Elephas maximus indicus: one gene and its partner. The protein of the gene in region 2 interacts with the protein of the main gene of each other region in a pairwise test. Links are inferred from orthologs where the notes say so. Each region holds a gene or a part of one and is shown on either strand. Other genes may lie near its edges.

Region 1 (7,818 bases), on a different chromosome or scaffold from region 2:
AGGCCCAAGGGTAAAGAGTTGAGGTTCCCAGGTATCCGTTTTGCTACCAACTAGGTAGGAACCTTTAAGTAGGAATCCACTAGACAGCAACAGGGGTTTGGTTTTTGGTAGGTAGGGACCTTGGTCTCAGTTTTCACTTTCGCCTAATAGTCATGCTTACCTGACTGAATTATAAAGTAGAAAAAAATAGTGAGGGGAAGGAAAAAGGTCAAAAATATACAAATACAAGGTGTGCTGAACCCACACAACTGAAGGGAGGATTATGGTAAGCCAAGTGTCTTCTTTTAAATAAGATCATCAAACATTTGCCTGAAAGCCCTTTGGAAAACAGCCATAAGAGCTGTGTGGAATAATGAACAGGAGATGAAAACTAAACCCGATTCTAATTAGAATCCCTGGCAATGTGCTGGTGGCAGATTTTGAAAGGGCAAATTTTAACATCTTTTGAGTCTAAATTTAAACTTTAAAGAAATCCTAATCTGGTAAGAGAAATAGAAAATCGCTTACATATTCGTTAAAAATAGGCGTGTAGGTGAGTTTATTCTCTTCCGTGTCTTCAAACTCCTGGTAGTACTTGTCCATGAAATTTCTCTGTAGTAACTGGAACTCATCGTCTAAACCACAATAGGGAAGATTTATTCTTTTTAATGGAGACTAAACACCACTCTGCTATATAAGTAGGCAGTACACTACTGCTCCTCAATGGCCAGTCTCTAAAAGGGAAAGCTGATGGTGTTTAAGGGGGCAGCAGTTAACTGGGACATGGATATTGAAATAGATGAATCCATTTCATTTCTTGGCTTGGGAACTCCCTCACATTATTACTTTACTGTAATGGAATGAATCGATTCTCTCATTTGAGCTATAGACTCCAGTATAATCCAGAAGCAGTGGTGCAAACACGGTAGTCATTAAAAGTACGGGCTCTGACAGAGGCCAGGATGCTTGGGTCCCAATTCTCCCTCAGCTAAGTTGTATGACCTTAGGCAAGTTAACTTCCCTAAGCCCCAGTTTCTTCATCTGGAAAATGAGAATGGTGATGGTACCTATGTTAAAGGATTGCTAGGTGGATTTTAGATGAGAATTTATGTAGAGATTAGTTCACAGTGAGCACCTAATAAACATTAGGGATTTTTAACAACTGATTGGAAATGGTTAAGTGCTACGCCTGCTAACCAAGAGGCTGGCAGTTCAAAACCACCAGGCGCTCCTTGGAAACTCTACAGGGCAGTTCTACTCTGTCCTATAGGGACGCTATGAGTCGGAATCGAATCGATGGCAACGGGTTTGGTTGTTTTTTTCAAGTAGAATATTATTTCTAAAAATAAAAGGAAAGCTTCACAAAGGACCCAGACTTTGGGATAAATAACCTGGGCTTACAGAAGGCTCATTTTCCCTCAGCATAAAGAGCAAAAGAAGTGAATGGATTCCTCCTCAGTATTTCTCAGAAATCCACACATCTACATGGGATGAGAGTTCAATAGGGAAATATCTGTATGTTCAATGGGGAAACATCTGGATTTAGGAGTTAAGGGCATGTACCTCTCTACAGGACCTGAAGGGAGAAAAACATGATTTTCAGACTAAACTGGACTATGCCGTATAGTCAATAACACCAAATAAGTGTTCCTTTCCTAACTCTCTGGAAAGTCAAAAGTCAGAATTTTCTCAAGTTTTCACGCCCCACCCCAACCCCAATATCTGTCTTAAACTTTTGGTGCCTGTTACTCCTTGTCTATTACTTAGCAAGTCTTAGGGATGCTGAAATAAATCCACAAATAGAAACTCAAAACCCAGAACCTGCTGGAGTCTGATACCTTGTTTTCTTCATAGACATGTGGCTTATGGTTATGGTTTTATGCTGTTCTTATATATGGTCGCTATGAGTCGGAACAGACTCGAAGGCACTAGGTTTGGTTTTCTGGTTAGGTTTTATATGCCATGAAAATGGTAAAATGCAAAACTATCTAAAAAGTGAAATTGCTTATATAGGAAATAACCTAGGTCAGTATTTCCTGAAGCTTTGCCAAGAGCCCCATAACTTCTAGGTGTCCCATTAGTTGAGTAAGTCCCTTCCAGGTCATGAAATTATGTTATCTGTTTTGAGGAGTACTGAGCTGTTTGCCTTAAAGGCAAATCAAGTAAAAAAAAAAAAAAACCCAAAACTAAGACTTGCAAATATTACATTGCACTACATTAATAATTATATGCAGCTTGATGTTTTCACTTAAAATTAACTCTCTAAATTGATTTCGGTGTCCTTAAAAGCAAGTGTCTAGGAACGGACTGGAGAGAGCACAGGCCAGGCAGTGGTGAGGCAGCTTACCCATGATAATGTCCTCTAAATAACCAACCACAGCATCGAATTCTGCATCAGAGGCGGAGGAGCTGAAAATTCATATGACTGGATTAGGTGTGGTTTCGAATAATTCGTTCAACAAAAAAAAGATTTTTGGACATTTTAAAACATGCACAAGAGAAAAAAAAATAGTAAAATGAATTTCCCATCACCCAGCTTCAACAATTAAAAATGACTTATCTAATCTAGCGTTCCAAACAACCCACTTTACACATCCTTGACATGAAGGTGAATTAAGATTCTACTTGCACAGAACCTGATTATGACACAACGAAATACAAAAGGGGCCTAGGAAGCAAAGGCTCGCATTGGACAAAAAGGCCTTGAGCGATATATGGCATTTATTTGCTGCACGATCTACTCACTGCATCCTCGCTATCACCCACACTTAATCTGCTCGTCAGCAGGGACCCGGCGTGAGGGAGACACTGGCCAGGCTCAGGAGCTGCTGGGGCGGAAGGTGGAGGATCCTCTGCCCCAGGTCTCGGCAGCTCTCGCCCGCCAGGGCTTTGCGGACGGCGGAGGGCCCGAGGCCGGGGGATTGTGATGGGGGCTTGGTAACCGGGGACACCGCCCCGCTCTCCGGTGCAGCGGTCGCAGGAGCCGCAGGATCAAGGCTGGGATCTGGGGCGGTGTCCGCCCGCCCCCCGAGGGCACCGTTTTAAAGGGCCGAGGCCAAGGCGTCACTCACATGGACAGCGCGAAGCTCTCTTCCTCTAAGGCGTCCATCACGGCCGACACATCCACCGCCGCGGGCGAGCCGGCTCGTCGGCCTCCTAGCCTGCCCGCCGCCCGGGCCCAGCCTCCGCTCCACCCCGCACTGCTCCAACCGGCATCGAGGGCACGCCGGCCGGCCCGAAGGAAGCCTCGCCGCCGGGGCCTCAGGCTCCTCGGGCTGCGGCCACGCGCCGGCCGGGCCTTGACGCCCGGCCAGGCCGCTTTGCGCGCGCCGCCACCACCGCGGGATCCCTGCGTCGGTTACTGACCGCTGGGCGCCGCGTCCCGCCTCCCGTTACCATGGCCACCGCACCTCCTTCCGCCCGCCTCGTTCCCAGCCCGGAGCTCCCGCCTCGTGGATTCCTGACAGCCAATCACAGCAAGCACTACCCAACGCCAGGGGCGGGACAAAACGGAGCGGAACGGGAAAGGAAGGAAGGAAAAGGGAAGATAAAGTCGCGAAGGGAGCCTGAGCTCCGGGCAGTATGGAATGGATTTACTGAGCTGTTTATGCGCTGTGTAACAATCACCTTCATTTCATGGATGGAGGAATTGAAACCATAAGCCTGAATTTTCTCATTTGCAACTTATGGATAAGTTGCACCTTGTACGGTGTTTGTGAAGACTGAAGCACGTTTTAAGAACACTGTATAAACTATAGGGTCGCTATGAGTCGGAATCGACTAGACGGCAATGGGTTATGGGTAAATGCAAATCGCTGGAGAGCCAACTCCTTATCTTTTGAACCAGAGACTGCAGACGTCTGATTTGCAAGACAGTTACTCCCCCTCGTGGAAGGAAAGCCTAGCCGCAAGCATTGGATGTCTAGTAATTTAATCATGAAGATTATCCTGCAGTAACTGGTTTCTTGGCTAATTGTGCAAGATAAGTTGACAGAGCCACTTTGAGCAACTCAACCAGGAGTCAGAACACTTTACTCCAAGGAAGGTCCTCTCCAAAGCGGTGCTAAATTTTACAAAAGGATTCCCTAAGGCTGACTTGCTCGATTGGACCACCGAGCACTGTCTTTCTGGTTGCATGATACTTTTTGGCCAAATGTGTGGTACATGTCCAGAGGGATTTACCGTATGGCTTAGGTTTGATCTGAGGGTCAGGTGGGCATAAAATAGGTTTCAGAGGGATCTGAAACTAAAGGTGGGTTAAAAACATACACAGTTATACCCAGGGTGAGATCAATTCTCAGAGCTATGCTTAGTCCTAGGTAGAAGACCGGCATCCACAAAGGTCTGCTGAATAAGCTGGACCGAGTTCTGTTTAGTCACGCACTAGTCAAACAGCCCATAGCAAACTCAGCAAATTTCCTCATGACCTACTTTCTCTGTATACCACACATTTCTTCTGGACAAAATGAGTTTACCTACTTTTCCTACTAATTCAATCTTTTATGGGGTCAGAGCGGCAGAGGAATGAAACTCTGTGATTTCATCTGTTCTGGTTACCTATTGTTGTTACGAACCACCTGAAATTGTAGTGGCTTGAAACAAGTTATTTTACTGAGCAAATTTGGATTTGGGCGAGGCTTGGCAGGGACAGCTGGTCTCTGTTCAGCTTGTCATCAGCTAGGGCAGCTGAAATGGGGCTGGAGGAGCCTCTTCCAAGATAGCTCCTCCACATGGCTGGCAAATTGGTGTTGGCTCTCAGCTGGGATCTCTACTGTGGCTATTGGCTGGAGGGCTGGGGGTCTCTCAGTGCCTTTCTATGGAGGTCTTCCCTGGAGATGTTTGGGTTATCTCACAATACGGCAGCGGGGTCCAAGAGCCAAGTAGTTCAAGAGACAGGAAGTGGAAGCTTCCAGTCTCTTAAGACCTCAGACTGGAAACTTGGCACAGGATCACTTCCATGGCATTCTAGTGGTCAAGCCATTACAGAGCCCACCTAGATTGAAGGGGAAGGGGACATAGATTGTAGGGAGAAATGTCTAAGAATTTGTGACCATCTTTACTATATCATTCTAATTGTAGGAACAAATGGGGATAAAGATAATAGGTACCCACTTCCTCAGGCATGTCCAGATACCCTGCTAAAGACTATAAATACATTGTCTCCTTTTGAAATACTTAAAACCCTGTGAGAAAAAACAAAAACCCTATGAGATGGGTACTGTCTCCATCTTACAGATTAGGAAACCAAGGCTTAGAGGTTAGGTACTTGCACGCTGGTGATATAAATCGCAGAGTGGGGCTAGAACCTGGGTCCAGCCCCGGTCCTAATAGTCTCTTTTAGCCACCATGCTATTATCATTCCTAATCCCTGGGGTGCCAAACCAGACTCTTGGAAATCAGAACATTTTTCCACTTAAAATAGAACAGTGGCCTTTCTCCCATTTCTAGAAAAAACAAAAAAATTGTATATATTAAGTGTTTTTGCACAAATAATCTCTTCTTAAATCCTTTGTGGGTTAGCATTAATATTTTTAAGTGAATAAAGAGCAAAAAAAAAATGTGGGGAAACTTGGAAAGAACTGGTCTTAAGATTTCATAGACATATGTTCAAGATGATTGAAACTCATGCAGGGCATTTTCTGCTAGTCACTGTTTCCTGGCACTCTGCAAATGGCAGCATGACCTCCCTCTATATCATTCAGAAACGGTGACAATTCATTAAAAAGAAAAAACTGGCTGGAACGCTGGGGGCATTTTTCCCAATGAACAACTGAATACCGTAACTTAATTTTTTATGTTTTTTTTTTTCCTGATACAATATCAGAAGTCTAGCTATCAATTCTTACAATGCTTACATTCAGTGCAGAATATGGATCTGTTTACTCTCTCCCAAATGGCTTGCTAATCCCCAGTTTCTTCTCTTCTATGTGGAATATATGTCTTTCCCTTTGAAATAGTGCCAAGATTACAATTTTGTCTCCATTCTGAATGACTTTAAGCAATTTAATATTGAAGTCTTCTTGTTTTATGGTCTAGAAGTTAAGAATTGGAAAAGTAGGCCATTTTATGGGCAGAATTTAAGGGTAGATTTCTAGAAAGCTGATAGGCTACTGCACTGCTCTGACTGCTGACATTATTAATTCCACTGACTTCTCTCCATTTCCACTCAATTTATAGACCACCTTTACCCCCAGCTGGATGACTCCAGAATCTCTCTACTAGTCTTATATTTCCAATTTTTGCTTGTCACCTTCCCTCTCCCCCCACTCTATTCTTCACGTAGAAATCAGAGCCATCTTTTACAATTATTGATCAAGGCACTTCCATGCTTGAACGCCTTTGCTTTCTACTGCACTTAGGATAAAATACACAATCCTCAACATGGCCTTCATGAAACCTCTCCAACGCTGGAACATACTACGCTACCCACTTGGCTCCTACCTTACTAGCTACAGGGACCTTCTGTCAGATCCCAAAACCCACCAAGCTCCTTTCCTCTGTAGTTAAGGCCTTTGCCTATAATGTGTTCACCTAGCTACCCAGTCCTAGAAGGCTTGTCCTCAGTCCCTCTGCCTGGTTATCACCTATTTATCTTTTAGGTTTCTACTAATGCTACTTCTGACACCCTCCCCTATCTAGATTAGGTCCCTCTCATTCTCTTACAGCACCCTATTCTTTTCCTTCAGGGCACTAATAAGTTGATATAATAAATACAAATACATAGTCGTCTCCTACTACCAGACTTAAGCTCCATGAACACACCTATTTTGTACTTCTCAATAGGCACAGTGTCCTGCACCTAATAGGTTCCTAGTAAAGATCTGCTGGATGAATAGTGATTAACTTGCATTCTAATACTTGATTCTTTGCTACCCTGAAAAACCAATTGCTGTTGATTCCAACTCATGGAGACTCCATGTGTGTCTGAGAGTTTATCTTGGAATTTAGCAGCAGGCACCAATGAAAGTTGTAAAATCTTAATCAAAAAAGGCAACAAATGTTTTATTTCTTCAATGCAAATTACTGTATTCACCACAAGCTAAAGAGGAGAACATACATATATATATATTTATATGTATTTTTGAATTTATGGAAGACTAAAGACATGGAAAAAAATGCAGCACCCCAACAAGTACAGCCAGGAAGGAAATCAGCTCTGTAATAGGACAGGTTTAAGGACAGGTTTAATGCAACTACAAACAAGAAAGGGTGGAAAAGGAAGAAAAAATGTGCACTGAGTTTAAGACACTGTAAAACTCAGAAGACACATTTACTATTCAAGTATAAACTCAGTAAGGACTTGGCATAAATTGAAAGGCAGCTGCTGAGGTACACCATTATAAAATAAGGTCTATGAATTTACAATTCTACCTTCCAATTTTCTGGGAGAAAAAACCAAACTCTTGAAGGTCTTCATCAGAGACCCTGAGAGGGATTAACACTTTTGATGAAGACATAGTCAACAATCCATGATTGAATTTACTTTTAAAAAACATGTATTTATTTAAAACAATAGTAATATGTGTTCTTAGACTGTCCTCTAGAGTTTTGGAGACTTAGCTCAAGAGTTTTAAAGTATATTACTTCCAAAAACAATACTGATTAAAAAAATTTAAAACAAAAACCTGGTTTGATGGTGCCTTAAAAATACCCTAAAATACCCAATTTTCTCCAGTCTAACATTGCAGTTAATGTAGGAATCCCTCCTGCATTGGGAAAATATTGTTTCCTCACAAAATGTGGGCGCTGAAATTGGATAGAAACACCATGAATGTGAAAATACAATCAATTTTCTGCCATTAAAAAAAAAAAAACTAGAATGTTCTTTGGAATCACTAA
Region 2 (7,359 bases):
ATATTCCCCAGACTAGGAGCTTCTCAGAGAAGGGACCCCAGGTCCAAAGGATGCGCTGCTCCTGGCACTTATTTGTTGGTGGTAGTGAGGTCCCCCTGTCTCTCTGTTACCTTCTGTCTTTTATATCTCAAAAGAGATTGACTTAAGACACAACCTAATCTTATAGATTGAGTCTTGCCTCAATAACACAACTGCCTCATTAACACCATAAAGGTAGAATTTACAACACACGGGAAAATCACATCAGATGACAAAATGGTGGACAATCACATAATACTAGCAATCATGGCCTAGCCAAACTGACACATATTTTCTGAGGACACAATTCAATCCATGTCCAAAAAACCAAAACCAAACCCGTGGCCATCGAGTTGATTCCAACTCATACCAACCCTATAGGACAGAGTAGAACTTCCCCATACAGTTTCCACAGAGCACCTGGTGGATTCAAACTGCAGACCTTTTAGTTAGCAGCCGTAGCTCTTAACCACTATGCCACCAGGGTTTCCTCAATCCATGACAGTGGGTTCGAACCCCCAACCTTTCCGTTAGCAGCCAAGCCCTTAACAGTTGTGCCCTCAGGGCTCCTTGAACCACAGGTAGTCTCTAACTTTTCTTCCACTGTTACTCTCCCTCCTCCTGCACAACCACAGCTAGTCTCACTAAGAAGGTCACCATCATGTCCAGGACGGCCCCACTTCTAAAGCAATGTGGTTCTCACTACTGGGAACAAGGGGGAGATAGAAATCAAACAGATGATTGGCCAATACCTCCTCTTCCTTCTAGGATCAGAGAATGTCATAGCTCAAAGACATTAGGGACCCTGGACCAACCCCCTCAGTTCACAGAAGGGAAAACTGAAGCGTAGAAATGTTCACATCCATTCAACAGCATGGTTAGTGTTTGTGGCACACGTGCCCTGCACTAAAGACTTGTGGCAGGTATAAAGAGGAACAAATCTAGTCCTCAAAGATCTGATGATAGCTAGGACCCTACTTTCCCAAGGTCATAAGGCTTGGCTTAGGGTCACCTAGACAGTTTCTCTTCCCACTAACCCATTACCAAATTTACTGCCGTTGAGTCAATTCCGACTCATGCCGTTCCTATAGGACAGAGATGAACTGCCCCATAGCATTTCCAAGGCTGTAAATCTTTACAAAAGCAGACTGCCTCATCTTTCTCCCACGGAATGGCTGATGCATTCAAACCGCCAACCTTTTGATTAGCAGCCAAGCGCTTAATCATTGCGCCACGACGACTCCTTCTCTTTCTACTACAGCCTACTTATTTTCTCCTAAGGGGGGAAAAAAAGGAGAAGAGAAAAGGAAAAGGGAAATAACCTACTACTTCAGCTGAAGTAATGCTCATCCTTGCCATGGTGACTTGTTTTTCTCTGGCAAACAGTATCACAGCTCAGAGAAAAGGCTTCCAAACCCCTCTGGGGTATTCGCCTAAGAGGCAGAAAAGTGCAGATAATTTTCTCTACCCAAGAATTCCCTGTTTGGAGTCCCAGGTAAGGTGAAAAACAAAACATTCTTGCTCGCAACCAAAGACTTAAAAAAGTTCACACACAGACCACTGAGATAGGTGAGGGTTGATGTCAAGGCTGGCTAGAACAAGATGGAAAATGAGACTAATAATTAAACAAGTTGGCCCAGGTGTATCCCTACGTACGCTCATGTATGCCCATATTATTCCAAGGCAACTGTGACACTGGACACAGACACAACCCAGAAAGAGAAATTTGCCTTACTTATTTCACAAAAGAGCCACCAAGCTAGAAATAGGTAGATTACACGTGGGTAGAGATGGTTGTTGACATATGCTATCCAGTCAATTCCAACACACAGTGACCCTACAGGACAGAGAAGAACTACCCCCGTAGGGTTTCCTAGGGTATAATTCCTATGGGGGAGGAGATTACCAGGTCTTTTCTCCCTTGGAGCCACTGGTGGTTTCGAACTGTTGACCTTTCAGTTAGCAGCTGAGCTCTGAACCATTGTGCCACCAGGGCTCCTTGTAGAGGCGGTACACACTCTGAGTTAACCATTCATCTTGCACCTCTTTAGTCAAGGTTCTGAACTGTTTTCTCTCCAAGATTCTGAAGCAGGTATGCAAGCAGCCCAAACCCACTGCCGTTGAGTCAGCAGATGTTTAAAAATTGGCTGAATGTACAAATAAAAAAAAAAACTAGTGCCATAAAAAAAAAGGACAATTCAGGGAAAAATTTGCCTTCATTCCAATGATCTTGGATAGGCTCGAAAGCCTGCTGATAGGAACAGGGGCAGAACCTAAAAACCTAGGTGAAACTAAGGCTTCAAACCTGTTCAGTCACAGCCAACGAAGTGAAACGGAAACAGACCCCAATTTTTACAATTTGGATGATCTGGAATGATAACAGAAATGGAAAAAATTACGGCTGGAAGCCCTGGAACGGGAGACTTGGAAGAGGCACGGTGAGCCGCTTTCAAGAGCCCGATGAGTGAGATTAGATTATTGGCAAGACTGTGGAGAGGACACACATTCAAAGCTGCGTGGTAGGCCACCATCTCTGAGCGGAGCACCACTGTTTGCAACTCTGCTCAAAATCCTACCAGGAAACAATTTGTTACTACACAACGTGTATGCTGCCCTTTGTTTTCTAAGAGGGAGATCAGGTTTCTAGTAGCATTTTGATCCATAATTCTTCCCATTCCGGTTGTCATTCTGGCTCAAATTTTTAAAAATTCAGGTCTGTTCCAGTTTCCCTTCCCGGGTCATGACTGAAGCGGGAAGAAATGGTTCAAAGCCCTGGAGGAAACGATAGTAATAGCTAATCCCTATATATATATATATATATATATATATATATATATATATACATATATACATATATATACATATATACATATATATATATAGCTCTTCCTGTGTGTGACATTTTTCTATGTACTTGACATATAATAATTCATATAATCCTCAAAGAACCGTACCCATACCCAGTGCCGTCGAGTCGATTCCAACTCATAGCGACCCTATAGGACAGAGTAGAACTGCCCCACAGAGTTTCCAAGGAGCGCCTGGCCGATTCGACCTTCCGACCCTTTGGTTAGCAGCCATAGCACTTAACAAACAACCGTGAAAAAAACCGTAGGCGGTAGGTAATATGCTCCCATGCATCTGCAAAGTTCCAGGTCCATCCATCAGCGCCCAGGCTTTACCAGTTCTTAAAAAGTCTGGTTTACACTACAGATATAAATCACTCTGTTCCTCCTACTTGGAGCACTCTGTCAAGAGTGGGACAGAACTCGGTTCGAGTCTCATTCTATCGCTTAAAATAACCAACTTCCAGGGTGACTGTGAGAATGAAATGAAATCGTGTATGAAAAGCATGTCACTAGAAAGCAAATTTTGTCCATTGCTGTATCTCCAGCGTCTACAACAGGGCCTGGCATGTGTGTCAACTCTTCTATGGGCCTCTGCATGGGAAAGGGGTGGAAGCACTTCCCCACCCACCCAGAACGCCCTAGCTCTTCTTTAGCTCCAAGTCCAGGCCCATTTGTGCCTTTTCCAGGAGTGCAGATGGTGTACGACCGGTTCGACATAGCAAAACCCAGCCAATCGCAAAACGCCTTTCACCCCTGCTGTCAACTCAGAGCAGAGCAAGTCCCAGATTGGTCTTTGCCCTGAGACAAGCTGCCTCTTCGCCTCTCACCACCCGGATCCCTCATCCCAGACCCTTACAAAGGGTGTGGAGGTGGGCACACAGCTCAAAACGCCCCGGCCCCTTGGCCTAGCCCACGAAGGCCCTGGGGACCTGCGGGGAGAGCCCGAGGCCACTCCTCGCGCCACGTGGCTTCTGCAGGTGGAAGTCTAGCGTCCAGCCCGCGCTGCAGCCCCACCTGGGCAGAGTAAGGACAGAAATCCAAACTCCCTCCCGGGACGTGGGGACTGAAAGTAGACGTGGCAAGCGGCTCTCTCCCCAATGGTCCTTACCTGGTCCCGGGAGGAGTGCCCTGAGACAACTGCTACCAGATGCAGCACGCTTGGGGAGCCCGGTCTGGGCCCCGCCCCTCGCCCCGCCCCCAAGCGGGGCTCGGCGGGCGCCAACCACGTGGGCTGGTTTGCACCATCTCCAGGTCCCTGCAAGCCCGTAGCCGCCTCCAGCCGCTCTAACAGCACGCCTGCGCGATGGGCGGCCCCTGGCGCGCTTGCGCACTTTGGAGAAAGCGGAGCTGGACCCGCCTCTGTACCTCTGCTTCCCTCCTCCGCTGTGCGTGAGAGGGACGTCGGGGGCGGTGCCGCAGCAGTTGCCCCTGGTAACGGGGAGGCAGCCCGAGGAGGAGGAGGAGGAGGAGGAGGGACTCGGCGGGAGGATGGTGAGTGTGGGGGCCTGGGCCCCTCCGGAGCTGGCCGGTCACCCCTCTGTCCCCTGGTCCGGGGCGGGGCACTGCGCTCAGAGCTAAGGAGGGAAAGGGACGGCGCGCAGCCCGCTGTCTGGGTTCTCGATCGGTTTCGCGGGACCGCGGAGAACCCCGAGGATGGGCCCTGGAGAGAGGCCTGGGCCTGGGGAGGGAGGCGGGGCTTGCAACGAGTCCGAGGCTCAGGGAAGGGGCTGACAGGGTCAGTGACTGGCCCCGTATGGAGCCGGGGCTCCATCATTGCTCTGGGGCCAATGATAAAGACGGATCCTAGGAGTGCGGAGAACAGCCTCCGCACGCCGACTTAGCTTTTCCCGGGGAATCCGCGTCCCTGCGCCGCAGGAAAGGGGGGTCTGCCTGAGGCCGAGGACGAAGCGGGGAGAGGGCCGGCGCTGATCTCTTTGAGGTCGCCCTGGCAGTACTAGGGAGATGGTATCCTAGCTCGCCTCTTCCTGGAGAGATGCGGACCCTTGGGGCGTGGAGGTCCCAAGGCACAAAGAAGTGCTACTTGAAAGGGATCCCTGGTGAATCTTAAACCGCCTTGGCGTCTGCGTGGCTGGCGCGCTTCTGCAACCTGGAGTTACTCATTTGATGAGGGTTCTGCAAAGTCTAGTTGGTGACCGATTTCCTCTCCAATACTTAAGCCACATTGGCGTAGGCAAATTAACTGCTCAATCTCTAGTATTTCCTTCGGAACCTGTTGCAGCCTTTGGCATATGACCACACCAGGACCAAAGGCCTTAATCCCAGTTTGGGGTCTCCAAACTAAAAAGAATGGAAAATTAAAACTGGGAGTGGCCATCAGTTTGAGGCAAGCCTTTTCTCTCTTAGCCCTGATTAAAGCTTTCCCAGAGTGTAAATTATGATGTGTGACAGATTTGACACTGTGTCGTCGTGACGTGGGAGAAACATATGGCAATCTCCTTTCGTAAAGATTTACATCCTAGGAAACCCTATGGAACAGCTCTACTCCGTCCTATAGGTAGCTATGAGTCGGAATTGACTCGACGACAATGGGAAATGGGCCTTCTTGATTTCTCTGGTTTCTTGGAGGAGGTTAAAATGGTATGAGTAGTTTTAGAGCTTGTCAGTAGAAAATTTGATTTTGAATTATTTAGAGCAGATTGATTGGCTTACCAATTGCAAACAGCCAGTACTCACTCAAATTTACAATTACTTACTTCCCCACCCCATCCCACCCCCAGTTCCTTTTTGACTTTTTAAAACATTGATCCATTTCTACTGATTTAAGACCTAAGAAGAAGCTAGCTGCCCCTGCGAAGGGGGGGGGGGGGATACATGTATCTCTGTTCAGATTATCCAGTGAGAAAATATGGATTTAGAAAAAATTTCCAATTGATTTTACATTTTCAGATTGTTAAAGAAGTAGAATTATTTGATCTGAAGTTGCCAATCACATTTCACAGTTGCCACGTTGCAGTTTTACTAACCTCAGGCTAAACAGATTTTACAAGTACTTCCTTTTTATTAATCATTTATACATGAGCTGTCCATTAAAAGGCTAAGTTTTTCTCAACAAATGAGTACAAACATAAATATTTACACAGAAGGGAACTGGGATTGAAAGGAAAAAGGCATGCCAAATCAACAGAGAATGAATTTTGTCATCATAGATGAGAAATGCGTAAGAGTTGGCTAACTTCTCCCAGTTTCTCGATTAAGTGACTGTGTAATTTTATGATTGTTTATAATTACAGCCCACAATAAATTAAGCACTGCTCATGTTTGGAGGCTCAAATTGACATTGTATACAACAAATAGACACTGCATACAACAAATTGGCAGTATATACCACAAATTGAAAGTGTATCCAATACTGTCATATACAACCATTGCAGTCAATGATCAAGAGAGATTTTGGTTTTATTTTTACATTTCCTAAATGAACAATAAGAAATTAGGACAAATTATTCTAGATTCTTTATCTGGTTTCCCAAATAAGTTTTTTTTTCCTGTCTCCAAAAGTGTGAGCTATTCTTAGAACTGGAAGTGGAACACTAAATTTAAACGGTCAGTGGTCTGATTAAATATGTCACATCTGGTATCCCCTGAGCCCCCCATGGTTAACTGTACAACTAAAGAATGGGTCCCAGGCTCTGTGTGTGTGCGTGTGTGTTTTAATCTTCAGCTATGACTAATACATTTTTTTAAACCTAAGTTACTGTAACAAAAACCCATAATTGGTTTTCCTGAACATTTAGGATTAGCATGATGAAATACTAAGATGACAGTAATTTTAGCGCATAACTAATCACTGTTTATTTAAAATATGACTCATTCATTCAGTAACTATTTATGGTGTACTTCCACGTATATGGAGCCCAGGTGGCACAGTGGTAAAGAGCTCAGCTGCTAACCAAAAGGTCAGCAGTTTGAATCCACCAGCAGCTCCTTGGAAATCCTATGGGGCAGCTCTACTCTGTCCTACAGGGTCGCTATGAGTCAGAATCAACACAGCAATGGCTTTTTTCCGCATATATGAACCTAGTGGTAGTTATCAAATATGTTCAACATTTGAAGATTGTTCTCAGTAGTATTTGTTTCCTGGTCAGGAAATGGTCACTGAAAAATAAAAAAAATAAAAGCAGCTATTGTTTTAAGTACTTACTATGTGCCATGCATTATATGCATTATCTAATTTAATCATCATAACTTTTTTTCTTGAGATATGAGTGTTGTTCCCATTTTCTACATAAAACCATGCTCAGCGTTACACATTTAGGGAAGCTGAATACAAGTCTTTTCATTAGGACTCTGGTGAAGTGGGAACCCAATCTTCTTGAGAAGATGCCCATCCTCCATTCCTCAGGAACGTTCTTTATATTTATTTAGTATAGAAGTGATGAGAAAGAAGACAAATTGGGGTGAGGGACTCCCGTTCAAAACCATAGGAGTTCCTGGAGCCGAACAAGATCTCCCTGGGTAGCACCAGTTTTTT

What was found.
Region 1: the proteins of ARL3 (region 2) and ARL2BP interact in binary tests that used the Homo sapiens proteins (3 or more experiments, as listed by UniProt). The link is inferred for Elephas maximus indicus from reciprocal best matches to the Homo sapiens genes ARL3 and ARL2BP.

What each region holds. Positions count from the first base shown.
Region 1 is NC_064839.1:24,185,481-24,193,298, reverse strand, and holds the start of ARL2BP (ADP-ribosylation factor-like protein 2-binding protein), read right to left. Parts: upstream 3,359-7,818; 5' UTR 3,089-3,358; coding exon 3,051-3,088; intron 2,389-3,050; coding exon 2,327-2,388; intron 615-2,326; coding exon 508-614; intron 1-507. UniProt on the Homo sapiens protein: Together with ARL2, plays a role in the nuclear translocation, retention and transcriptional activity of STAT3. May play a role as an effector of ARL2.
Region 2 is NC_064834.1:54,252,111-54,259,469, reverse strand, and holds the start of ARL3 (ADP-ribosylation factor-like protein 3), read left to right. Parts: upstream 1-4,248; 5' UTR 4,249-4,355; coding exon 4,356-4,358; intron 4,359-7,359. UniProt on the Homo sapiens protein: Small GTP-binding protein which cycles between an inactive GDP-bound and an active GTP-bound form, and the rate of cycling is regulated by guanine nucleotide exchange factors (GEF) and GTPase-activating proteins (GAP).